Linked DNA regions of Cricetulus griseus. The protein of the gene in region 3 interacts with the protein of the main gene of each other region in a pairwise test. Links are inferred from orthologs where the notes say so. Each region holds a gene or a part of one and is shown on either strand. Other genes may lie near its edges.

Region 1 (4,026 bases), about 210 Mb from region 3:
CTACCTCTAAAAATGCATGGCATGTCACACACAAATACTCTGCACAAAAGTACGGGAACACAGCAACAGGCGGTCTTAGCCAGGAGTTTTAATTTGACTGCCCCATTTTAATGTTACTTTAATTAATTTTAGTGTTGGCTCCCGACAGAGTTGCTTTTTATATGTGTTGCATAGAACCAGCCCACTTATTTATTTGTGTTTGTAGTGGAAAATTATAATCAGTTTATAAACCTCTCCCAAGCTTTTTTTCTTAAGGGACTGCAATTGATAAACGAAAACAAAAGTTAGTGAATGTTCAAGGTACATAGTTGTGGCCAGCTGGGAACTGAACCCTTGGTCCCTCACAGCTTAGTCTCTGGAAGTCATTCTTCTACCTTTTCCCCCTCCCAATTAATTGTTCTCAATTTGGAAGGCTCCAGCTATCCCTGAGTATTTGGTGGAAGCAGAGGGAGAGAAAACAAGCCCCAAGTCTGGTTTGTGCAGTTGAAATTCTTTGCCCCCTTTTATTCTCCTAAAGCTTGAACCCCGCTGTTGCTTCAGCTTGGCCCCCTAGTGCCTTTGCCCAATTCTTTCTCAGCTTGTTTTAGGTTTTGTGACTATACATTTTGGAGACCAATCTGAGGAGGACCATACGATGCTGAAGGAACCCCTCTTGAACAAAGACCATGGAACTCAAGGTTCCTGCACTACAGGAGGCACTGGTGGGCAGATGGGCATTGCAAAATGCAGAATTGAATTGTAACTCATCCTTCTGCTCTACCCTGGAAGACTCTAGTCCTAGAGCCAGGGAAACTGGAATGGAAAATTAAAAGATAGTAGCATGGAGTCACTTCTAGAACTGAGGTCAAACTCTCCTACTTGTTCTCACCTGAAGGAATCCTTCTAGACTCTCCAAGGCAAATCCACAAATAAGAGGCGATGAGGGGGCGGTGCTACAGAGAAATGCTTATATTCCCCTTATAGTTAAATATCCACAAAACCCGGTCAGCAACCTGCTTTCCGAACTTCAGGCCTAAATACCCTAACTGAGCCAGAAGGCGGGACTGGCCTACCATTTCACCACACATCAGGGAGTGTATATCTTCAGCAGTTGAGCTCAGCACTCTGGGGCTCTAGAAAACCTTTCTGAAGAAGATCTAGCTGTCTTTGAGGAGCTGAGGAAGTGGTAGCAGCAGCTCTATCAACAGAAAAACTGTGGGCCTTTCACTTTTAATTTCAGTACACCGGTTCAGAGGAGATGGGCTTGTTGCCTTTGTACGTTTACCCAGTGAGGGGAAACACCAGACTCAAGTCCACTGAATTCCCACTGCTGAGAGGGGCACGCAGAGAAGCCAGCGGTTCCCTTCTGAGGAAAGTGGGGAAGAGGCTTAAACTGGGGGCAGCCAGACTCAGGAAGGAGCCAGGGTGACAGAATTAGGTAGAAACTGGGGTCTGCGTACTTTCAGGGCTCAGACCACCACCACCACCACCACGCCCCAAATAAAAGCATTTCTGAGAGTAAAAGAGAACAGAGGGAAGCAAGAAGGCCCAAAAAGCTTTCCCTTGTTTCACAGCAGGCCGAGCCTGCCTAAACCTGGAAAAGTACTTGTTAAGTTTTCCCCAAGGTAGGCCAAGTTTTATTTTTAATTTCTTCAAATCACAGCAACTTGGGGAAAGGAATTAAAGGACCAAAGAGGTAATTCAACAAAAAGAGTTAGCTGGTCTCGCTTTGACGACTTCAGGAACCTTTTATCTACAGTTTCTACAGTTCTTAAAAGGCGACTTTTTTTCTTTTTCTTTTTGTTTTTTTTGTTTGTTTGTTTGTTTTTTTACCGAATTTTAAGTCAAGTCTTCAACCCAGCTACAATGTCCGAGCTCCTTTAAGTTAAAGATGTCGCCTTTTTGCTCCCGTGTCCCGGGCCAAGCCAAGATTCACCTAGAAACAGCAAAGCACTTGGGCCCTAACTGCTAACCCTCACCTATTTATCCCTACCCCTAAATGAGAGCCCCCCTAAAACCCGCCTCATCATGGTGCATTTAAAAGCGGTCCCTCCCCAGATTTCGTTTTACAAATAGTTTGTAGAATTGACGTTAAGTTTCCCCTTCAGCCCAGAGAAGGCACCAGGAGACAGGGACATACAGCCTGGATATTTGGCCGGCTCCTGGGTTCCACCTGCATCGGGTTCAGACTCTGTAAGAGACTCACTTTTCCCGGAGAGTAAGAGTCAGTGTCTGCTGGGGATGTAGGCCCAATCAGGTCAACTTCCTACAAACGTGCCCTCGCCTTCCAAACGGATCCCCAAGGGCACTCGAAGTTTCCTCCTTCGAGGCTGACCCCAGCCTAGCAGACGCTCTCACCTGGCTTGGCGAGCTGCGCGGGCAGCGTTCCGGGCTGGGGCTCCGCGGTGGTCCAGCGCAGCGCGGCAGCTGCAGCCAACTCGGCGGCGGGACGAGGCGGCGCCGGCGGCTGGGACGGCTGGGAGGCTGGCGACGACTGCGAGGCGGCGGCAGCGGCGTCCCCCGGCGGCGGGGGCCCCGGCAGAGCCCGCAGCGAGTCCGGGATGAGGCTCTCCAGGCTCTCGTTGGCCTGTTGCCGGCGAAGGGCCACCTGAGCCGCCATCACCCGCTGCCGCTCGATGATCAGGATGCATTTCTCGCAGGTGCAGTCCTTGAAGCGACAGTAGCGCTTGTGGCCCTTGAGCCAGGACAGCACCCCGTGGTTCCGGCAGCGCGCGCACTTAGGCGTGCGCTGCAGGGGCGCCCGCGGTGGCTGCGACACCGGGCCGCCCATGTACAGGTAGGGGGAGCCGTAGCCGTTCATGCCCGGGGCTCCCCCCGGCCGGCGGCAGGAGCAGGGAGGCAGTAGCTGGACCGCAGAGCTGGGAGGCCTGCTCCCGGGGGTCTCGGAAGATCGGCGGCAGCCGGAGGTACCGCAGCGGTCTCCCCGGCCCCGGAGGCGCTCGCAGCCTGAACCGCCTGGCTGGTGGCACGCGGGCCGCGTCTCTGTCTGCTGCCCCTGAGGGCGCAAGCTCCACCCGCTGGTCCTCCTTAGCCCAGACTCTCCAGCCGCTGCAAGGAGCCGGTGAGAGCTCTGATTAAGGTCTGAGCCAGCTCCTCTGCTGTTCCCTTCCTCTCTGGCAGGAGCCCGCACCTCCTCCGTCGCCCTCCCCCACCCTGTCCCTCCTCCCTCCCATCGCCACCCCCACCCCCGGGGTCCCAGCCTCCAAACACTCCCCACACACTCTTTCCTCCTCCCTAGCACCCCTCGGGTTCCTGCACCTCACCTTCTTCGCCACCTGCAGCCAACCGGGCCTCTCTGGCGGGGGCGCTCACAGCCCCCCTCCTCCATGCCCACCACTACCCTTTCCCGAGGCGGGAGGGACTGAGCCGCAGCGGCACACCCGGCTTGCTGGACGGGGGAGGGGTTGGGGGGGGGATAGCGGGAGGGGTGGGTACTTGTAAGCAGGCAGGCAGGCCTCTCCGCTACCGACTCACCGAGCTCCAGGCCTGGTCTGGAAGCACGGAGTCCTAGACCCACACTTGGCCTCAGCAATTCGGAGCTTGCAAGGGAATTGAGGGTGCACGGCAGGTCGGCCCCAGGCGGACCAGGTTTCAAGTACCCGACAAGAGGAGTGAGAGGAGTAGTGATGGTTCGGAAATTTGGGGGACTCTTTTCTTCATTTCGTTTTGCAATCTGGTTTCTCTTTCGTTGCTGCAGAAGAAAATTAATTTTTAAAAAAATCTGTCAAGCTTAAGGAAGACAACTCGTTTGATTGGGTAATTTTAATTTCCTACCACCTCATTCTGTCTTTAAAATAAACAACCACCTCTGCCCTAAAAGACCTCTGCCTTGGAAGGCCTGGAAGTGCTCTCTCGGATGTTTCCCTTAAACATGGTTTAACTTTCCGGGAGCGGAGGTAGAAGACACATTAGTGGCCCCCAAGTTACCCAGCATGATCTACTTGTTCCCGCAACGGTCACTGAATCAACAACCAAGCTCCGGAATTGCCCAGTTCAAATCCCCACAGGCACTGTGATTTATTTTCG
Region 2 (4,170 bases), on a different chromosome or scaffold from region 3:
TGGTTATCCGTCTTACGTCTCACGGTGAGTCTCACGGTGAGTCTCACGGTGAGTCTCACGGTGAGTCTCACGGTGAGTCTCACGGTGAGTCTCACGGTGATAGGGGCACAAGATCCAAATAGGTTAATGGCTATAAACCACACCCCAACCACCACCCTATCCCGGCATCCAACCCAATCCAAGGAGCTGCTCCTCCCACTGGGATAGTAGGGCAGGTCTGTGAGTGTGGATAGTGCTACCCTGAGAGGTGTAAACAAAATAAGACAAAGCAGAGACCACAATATAATTAATATAACATCAGGGAAGGCCGCTTAGCAGACCACCCAGTTTCTCCTGGGCACTAAATCTCTCCTGAATGGTCACCACACCACAATCCTTGGAAGACTCACCGTCACCCCGTATTTGAGTGCTAGTCCAGCCAGGGTGTCTCCAGGCTCCAACTGATGCTCCAAGCGTCTTTCCCTCACCGGGGAGCACGATGATTGTACCAGGCTTCCATAAGAACGAGCACGGCTCCCATGCAGCAGCCCTGACCCCCCAAGTGGGGGCTGTCTAGAGGGAGAAGCCATCTCAAGATGCCAAGATCTAGGGTCACAACTGAGGAAAGCTAAGTGACCAACAGTGAGGGCCGAACCCCAGGAATGGATAGATATTCTAGGAATTCCTTCTCACTTCTCTCTTTAGTGTCCCCGCTCTCGAGAGACTACATCAATGCTCCTCTTGCTGCTGCTTACCGAGCTTGGGGTCACAGTCCGTACCCTAAGAAGGCTGCCAGGCCGGTTACATTTCTCCTTCCTCAAGACCCTTGCCCATAAATATCTTCCCTGAGTGGTCGGTCGCCGACCCCTTCGACTTTCGACGCCCTCTCCCCAACTCCTTGCAAGCCTGATCTCTGACCTTTGAACCCTAGACACCCTCATCAACACTCTCCCCTCAGTGTGTCCCCACGTCCCGCAGCCGGGCCGCCGGGAGCCCCCACATCCTCTCTGCTCCAAATCAGGCCCACCCCAGGTAGATCGTGGCTGTGGACGGTGAGCCTGGGGACTGAGAGAGTTTGCAGTACACGGTCCACTGAGATCCCCGAAGCCTCGCTCCACGCCAGGAGGGTCCCACCCTGAAACTCCGGCTCCACGTACAGGTTCTTGGTCTCCAAACACCTGGGTCCTTCGCGATGTGAGTGCCTGTACTCAGGTGAGCGGTGAGGTCTTTTAAAAACAACAAAAAAAAGAAAATAACTAAAAGACTTCATTTCCCAAAAGGCAAAGCGTTCTCAGGGCATCATAGGAAATGCAGGCACCCTCAGGGCTCTGGAGGCGGGTCTTCCGGCTCGCGCGGTGCATGCGTGGAAACGCATCCCCGGAAGTAAAGACTTAATCAGAAAAAGACCGGAAGCAGGGAAGGCGATAACCTACTCTTCCTACGGTGGCCCGAAGGAGAGGCAAAGTAGGCGTAGGAGAATTTATTATTTCTAAGACTCACAGTCGTGATGTCTTTCAAGAGGGAAGGTGACGACTGGAGTCAGCTCAATGTGCTCAAAGTAAGCCCTAGTGAGAGTCTACCCACGAGCAGTGGTGGCGCACGCTTTGAATCCCAGCACTTGCGAGGCAAAAGCCGGTGTGTCCGTGTTGCGTTTGAGGTTCGAGGCCAGCCTGGTCCACACAGCCAGCTCTAGAACAGTCAAGGCTACACGAAGAAACCCTGTCTCGAAAAATCAAAGAACTAGAGAGAGGGAGAGCCCAGCTTCAGTCGCGCTTTGCATTGTTTTGTTGCTCTGGCGACATCTGTGGGAGGGGGTTTCGGGGGCCAGAACTGAGTGATGCCTCCTCCTTCTTACCCTATGGTCTGCTCCATTTGACTCTTTATCCCTGTTATTTCTTTTCATCCATCCCTCATATTCGTTTCTCCTGTCCTGCTCTCTGCAGAAACGAAGAGTTGGAGACTTGCTGGCCAGTTACATCCCAGAGGATGAGGCGCTAATGCTGCGGGATGGACGGTGAGAGCAGAGTGGATCAAGCCTGGGGATTTGCTATCAGAGGCTCAACAGACTTTGGTTTCTAAGGAGATCAGGAGTGTAATAGATCCTTTGGTTGGAAGTGAAGATTGGAAGAGGTGGCGATCGGGAGACCTGGGCGTTGGTGGAGTGCTTTGACAGGCATAGCCCCTAAGTAGGAACACCCCAACCACCGGCTCTCCAACACATACGGGTTTGCCATTCACTTCTCTTTTCCCTAGCTTTGCTTGCGCTATCTGCCCCCATCGACCAGTCCTGGACACGCTGGCCATGCTGACTGCCCACCGTGCAGGCAAGAAGCACCTATCCAGTAAGTACAGGAGAAGGCGGGGAGTGGAGGAATGATAGAGAATACACTCTGAACATTTTGTCAGTCTACTTGATGTTGTGCTTGCTTTCCTTTTCAGGTTTGAAGCTCTTCTATGGCAAAAAGCAATCAGGCAAGAAAACAGAGCAAAAACCAAGACAGCAAAATGAATTGAAGACAGAAAGCAAAGCCGAGGTGAGAGATCTGGTCAGGTGTTGTTCAGGCAGGGCTGTACTGCATGCAACAGGACTTTTGCCTAACATCTCCAACTGTGTCTTCTTCTCTTGATAACCAGGCACCTTTGCTAACCCAGACTCGATTAATCACCCAGAGTGCTCTGCACAGAGCTCCTCACTATAGCAGTTGCTGCCGGAGGAAGCACAGGTCTGTAGAGGGGGAAATCCGGAAGTGGGAAAGGGTAGAAGGAAATAGATGGTTCTGAAGTTACTGCTCTCCAAACTGTACTCTGAGAAACACTAATCTTGTGGAGATGTTGTTTAAAGAAAAATGATAGTTTGTGGTTTGTTTTGTTTTTGTTTTTTGTTTTGGTTTTTCAAGACAAGAGTTTCTCTCTGTAGCTTTGGAGCCTATCCTGGCACTTGCTCTGGTGACCAGGCTGGCCTCGAACTCACAGAGATCCCCCTGCCTCTGCCTCCTGAGTACTGCAATTAAAGGCGTGGGACACCATCGCCTGGTGATAGTTTGTGATTTTAAAATAAATTTTAGCCGGGTGTTGGTGGCTCACACTTTAATCCCAGCACTCCGGAGACAAGGCAAGTAGATCTCTGATCTATAGAGTGAGTTCCAGGACAGCCAAGTCTACACCAAACAAACAAAAACCCTGCCTTGAAAAACAAAATAATGCACACACACACAAAAAAATAGTAACATTATTGCTGGATGGTGGCACACGCCTTTAATCCTGGCACTCCAGAAGCAAGGCCAGTGGGTCTCTGAGTTCCAGGCCAGCCGGGGCTACAGAGGAAAAAAAAAAAAAAGTAACATAATCTGGGCATAGTGGTACACTTTTTTGTTTGTTATTGAGAGGGGATCTCCCTTTGTAGCCCTGGCTGTCCTGGAACCCTGCTATTTAGACCAGGGTGGCCTCAAACTTACAGAGATCTGCCTTTCTCTGCCCCTTAAGTGCTGCAGGTACTAAAAGTGTGTACCACCATACCTGGTTATGGAAAATCTTGAGGCAAAAGCGTAGAACTATTAAGCTGGCTTTTCTCAAGTTCCTAATTCCAAAATCTTTCATATGTAAAATATTTAAGATCTTATGGAACTCAAGCTGGGTGTGGTGGTATACACTTTTAATCCCAGTACTTAGGAGGCAGAGGCAAGTGGATCTCTGTAAATTTAAGGACAGCCTCATCTACCTAGTAAATTCCAGGTCCATCATATGTACTCTATCTCCAAAAAAGCAAACAAAAAAACCTCAGGAACTAGCCAGGCAGTGGTGGCTCACGCCTTTAGTCCCAGCACTCTGGGAGGCAGAGGTAGGCAGATCTCTGTGAGTTCTAAACCAGCCTGATCTACAAGAGCTAGTTCCAACAGCCTCCAAAGCCACAGAGAAACCTTGTCTCAAAAAACCGAGGAAAAGAAAAAAAAAAAAAACAAAAAACTCAGGAACTCAGTTTAGGAAACACTGCTCTTCAGGCTTGGGAGGCACGGGGAAGCTGCTACTTTCCTTCTGTGCATTTAACAGGCTTGGTTTCTTTTCTCCCCAGACCAGAGGCTCCTGCTCCCTCTGTCTCCAGTTCTCCTTTGCCTGCCCCAGAGGTTGGACTCCAGAGTGCAAAGATCAGTAGGGAACCTGAGACTAAGGCAGGATCACATGCCAAAGAGTCAT
Region 3 (3,500 bases):
AAAAAAAAAAAAAAAAAAAAAAAAAAAAAAAAAAAAAAAATGGATGGGGGGGGGGAGCTGAAGAGATGGCTCAGTGGTTAAGAGCCTTGGCTGCTCTTCCATAGACCCATGTTCAATTCCCAGCACCCACATGACAGCTCACACCTGTCTGTAACTCCAGTTCCCTGTCACCCTCACTGACATATACGCAGGCAAAACACCAATGAACCAATGAACATCAAACAAATAAACAAGTAAACAAACAAACAAATAGAAGATGGGCACACATGCCTTGAATCCCAGCACTCAGGAGGCAGAGGCAGGTGAATCTAAGTTCCATAATAAAAAAAAAAAAAAAAAAAAAAAAAAGAGTAGGACATACAATGGAATATCATTAAGCTACAAAAAGAAATAAGGTATTAATTAATTCCATAATGTGGATGAATATTGAAAAATTTATGCTGAGTAAAAGAAGCCAAAATTAAAAAGTCACATATTGTATGATTTTACTGAATACCCAAAATGTAAAAACCCAGATACAGGGACTAGAGGTAGAATGGAATGAAAAGGACTACTTAATGGGCTTTCTTTTGGGGGGGGGGATGATAAATGTATTCTAGATCTAAATAGAAAGCTGGTCACCGAACTCACTATTTTAAAATGCTATTTTTGTATTACAGAAATGACCTTGTGAAATGGAGAAATTTGTGTTTTCCATGCAAAAGAAAAAAAAAAAAAAAAAAAAAAAAACCCAACCCAAACAGGCCCAATTCTGTTTCTCAGTGCTTACACAGGAGCAGTGAAGACCCGAGAAGGCAAAGCAACCAACATCACCCACAAAGGGCAGAACAATCCAATAAATAGTCACTGGGGGTCAATGGGTAAGAGCACCAGCCTTGCAAGCCAGATGACCTGAGTTCAAGCCCTAGGGCCCACATAAAGGTGGAAGGAGAGGACTGATTCTACACAGTTATCCTATGACGTCCACACACGTGTATCATGCATGGCACATGCATGCCCTCACTATCACATATCCACACCTACCTATCATCAGTCATTATCAATTTGTTATTGACCAAACGATCCTACCCTGCCTCAGAGAGCAGATGCTTTCCCAACAATGTTCTTAGTAGTGTATACTTCTGATGTCCCATCATTTCAGACAGTGTCCATGTGTCCTCTCTCTCACCCCATCCTTACCACAGGCACCCTCCTCACACTTTAAATATGTTTAGTTTCTTCAAGCAGTCCCTCCAGACAAAGGCACAGACTTCTCCTTGTCTCTAGGAATCTTCTCCACCACCATCCTTCAAATAGTCTCTACTCTGAGTTTCTACTCACCCCACCTGGTCACTTTTCAACTCCCAACATTCATTTAAAAAGCTCTGATACTGCTGGGCATCACCTACACCCAGACTGTCATCTACTTCCACTGTCCTGGTCATTCTGCCTCACAGGTTAGTAGTCTCCTTTTCAAACTATCTCTTCTCTCTCTAGCAATAAAAAAGTGACATTCATCAAGGCTTAAGTTGTCTTCCCTTACTGTGCTAAAACATGTTAGTAAACTTTTTCTTGAAGAGTTAGATGGTAAACAGTTTAGGTTTTATAATCTACACAAATACTCAGTACTGCTGATGTAATAGGAAAGCAGTGATGAATGATAATATATATATATATAAATATATGAATGAGCACGGCTATGTCTAATAAAAACTTATGGACATCTCATCTCAATATACATTTTTGCCTATGATGAAAAACATTCTTATGTTTCCCAAACATCTTAAAATATAAAAAGCTACTTAATTCTAAGCACCAACAAAAACAAGACAGGCCATAATCTGCTCACAATTGTACTATCCCATGACTCTTTTAAAATGGCACTTATTATCATGTGATAACCATTTACTTACTATATAAACTTCAAACTAAAACATAATTAAGGAAAGCTTATTTATCTAGCACTTAATTCCAGTGCCCTCAACAATGGAAGATAAGACAAGAAGGCAGGCAGTAAGTAGATCATCTACTGTGGTCTTGTCCTATGAGTACATTGTCTTTTCTCAGCTATATTAAAACAGGAAAATTACAGCAATGTTTAGGTTAACTGTACCTGTCTCCATGTCTTCTGGCTGTGGTAGTATAGACATACATATATTAAAATTACAAGATAAGCTGGCGTTGGTGGCGTACGCCTTTAATCCCAGCACTCTGGAGACAGAGGCAGGCGGATCTTTGTATGTAAGTTCGAGGCCAGCCTGGTCTCCAGAGTGAGTGCCAGGATAGGCTCCAAAGCTACACAGAGAAACCCTGTCTTGAAAAACCAAAAAAAAAAAAAAAAAAAAAAAACCAAGATAATGAAAGGATCTTGAATGATATGTGGTCCAAATACTTTATTATAATCTATACTGAGCAAATGAAATCTATGAGGCCCTAACCACTTAGGGCAGCACAGGCCCAAAGACTAGGTTTTTCTTTTGCCCTTTCCATGATACAATGCAACTGAAGGACTGAGTTGTCAGTCACAACTTCTAGTATACAGGTTTTCTTTCCAAAATGCCCAACACTTCAGAAGTTATAAAGGATAAAGGAATCATGAACCCTGCCTGTCAACAGCAAAAGCTGCCTTGTCCTGCTGTGCCCACCAAGCTGCCTGTAGAGTTCTCCTGGTTACCTGTAAGAGTTCCCTGGTGGGCTGCTGCTGCTTCTCTTCCAGTTGGGCAATCAGGCCACTGAGGTGAGAGATGTTGCAGGAGAACTGAGTGATGGCACCGTTGATACTGTTGTAGATGGCCAAGTCTAGCTCCTCAAGGCGAGCTAACAAGCGATATTCATGTTCCTTTAAGGAGTGATACAGCTGCTCAAACTCCCAAACAATTTTTTCCCTCTCCATCTGGGTCAGGCTCTGTACATGACAAGCAAAGGTACTGAACAGGAAAGGATCACTTCTAGAACTCTTCAAAGTATTCCCAATGACTTAACCCCAAGACCTCATCATTTCATCTCATACTAAAACAGATACCTACACTCTTTTTCTAGTTTTTATTCACCAGATGCACAATGACCATGAACTGAATTACTCCAATGGTAATTAAGAAGTAGTCTTTGACCTTAAGGATTTGGTCAAGTGAGAGTTAGGTTCACAAGACACTGTCATGATGGGTAAAGACAGTGGGGGAAGCTAATCCATGTTCACACAGGATCTTGTAGAATGCCATGCAAGTATGAACTAGATGGGCTAAGCTGAGCAAATGGCACAGACAATAAAACAGGGACAGAAGACACATGATTCTAAATGCTTGGAGCCCATAAGGGATGAGATCAGATTAAACCTTGTCTGGCAGACTGAATCATGAAACACAGCCATACAGAAGTGGCAAGGTTAGGTGTGTGCCCCATGGGGTGATCTGAAACGATCAAGCACACTTTTCTAGACTTGTTTACTCGGTCCCTTTATGTGATACATGCCCTATGATTTTGGGGGGTACTTATGGGTTTGGCATTGAGGAAGGTGTCCTCTT

The links. The genes of interacting proteins can lie anywhere in the genome.
Region 1: the proteins of Trim27 (region 3) and doublesex- and mab-3-related transcription factor 3 interact in binary tests that used the Homo sapiens proteins (3 or more experiments, as listed by UniProt). The two-hybrid records come from large-scale screens. The link is inferred for Cricetulus griseus from reciprocal best matches to the Homo sapiens genes TRIM27 and DMRT3.
Region 2: the proteins of Trim27 (region 3) and Scnm1 interact in binary tests that used the Homo sapiens proteins (3 or more experiments, as listed by UniProt). The two-hybrid records come from large-scale screens. The link is inferred for Cricetulus griseus from reciprocal best matches to the Homo sapiens genes TRIM27 and SCNM1.

The regions. Positions count from the first base shown.
Region 1 is NC_048596.1:35,690,677-35,694,702, forward strand, and holds the start of doublesex- and mab-3-related transcription factor 3, read right to left. Parts: upstream 2,801-4,026; coding exon 2,338-2,800; intron 1-2,337. UniProt on the Homo sapiens protein: Probable transcription factor that plays a role in configuring the spinal circuits controlling stride in vertebrates.
Region 2 is NW_023276806.1:61,367,208-61,371,377, forward strand, and holds the start of Scnm1 (sodium channel modifier 1), read left to right. Parts: upstream 1-1,370; 5' UTR 1,371-1,486; coding exon 1,487-1,537; intron 1,538-1,922; coding exon 1,923-1,993; intron 1,994-2,232; coding exon 2,233-2,321; intron 2,322-2,418; coding exon 2,419-2,513; intron 2,514-2,613; coding exon 2,614-2,702; intron 2,703-4,048; coding exon 4,049-4,170. Other genes in the region: Lysmd1 (lysM and putative peptidoglycan-binding domain-containing protein 1), read right to left, coding at 390-585, 1,137-1,249. UniProt on the Homo sapiens protein: As a component of the minor spliceosome, involved in the splicing of U12-type introns in pre-mRNAs. Plays a role in the regulation of primary cilia length and Hedgehog signaling.
Region 3 is NC_048596.1:243,532,132-243,535,631, reverse strand, and holds part of Trim27 (zinc finger protein RFP), read right to left. Parts: intron 2,885-3,500; coding exon 2,654-2,884; intron 1-2,653. UniProt on the Homo sapiens protein: E3 ubiquitin-protein ligase that mediates ubiquitination of various substrates and thereby plays a role in diffent processes including proliferation, innate immunity, apoptosis, immune response or autophagy.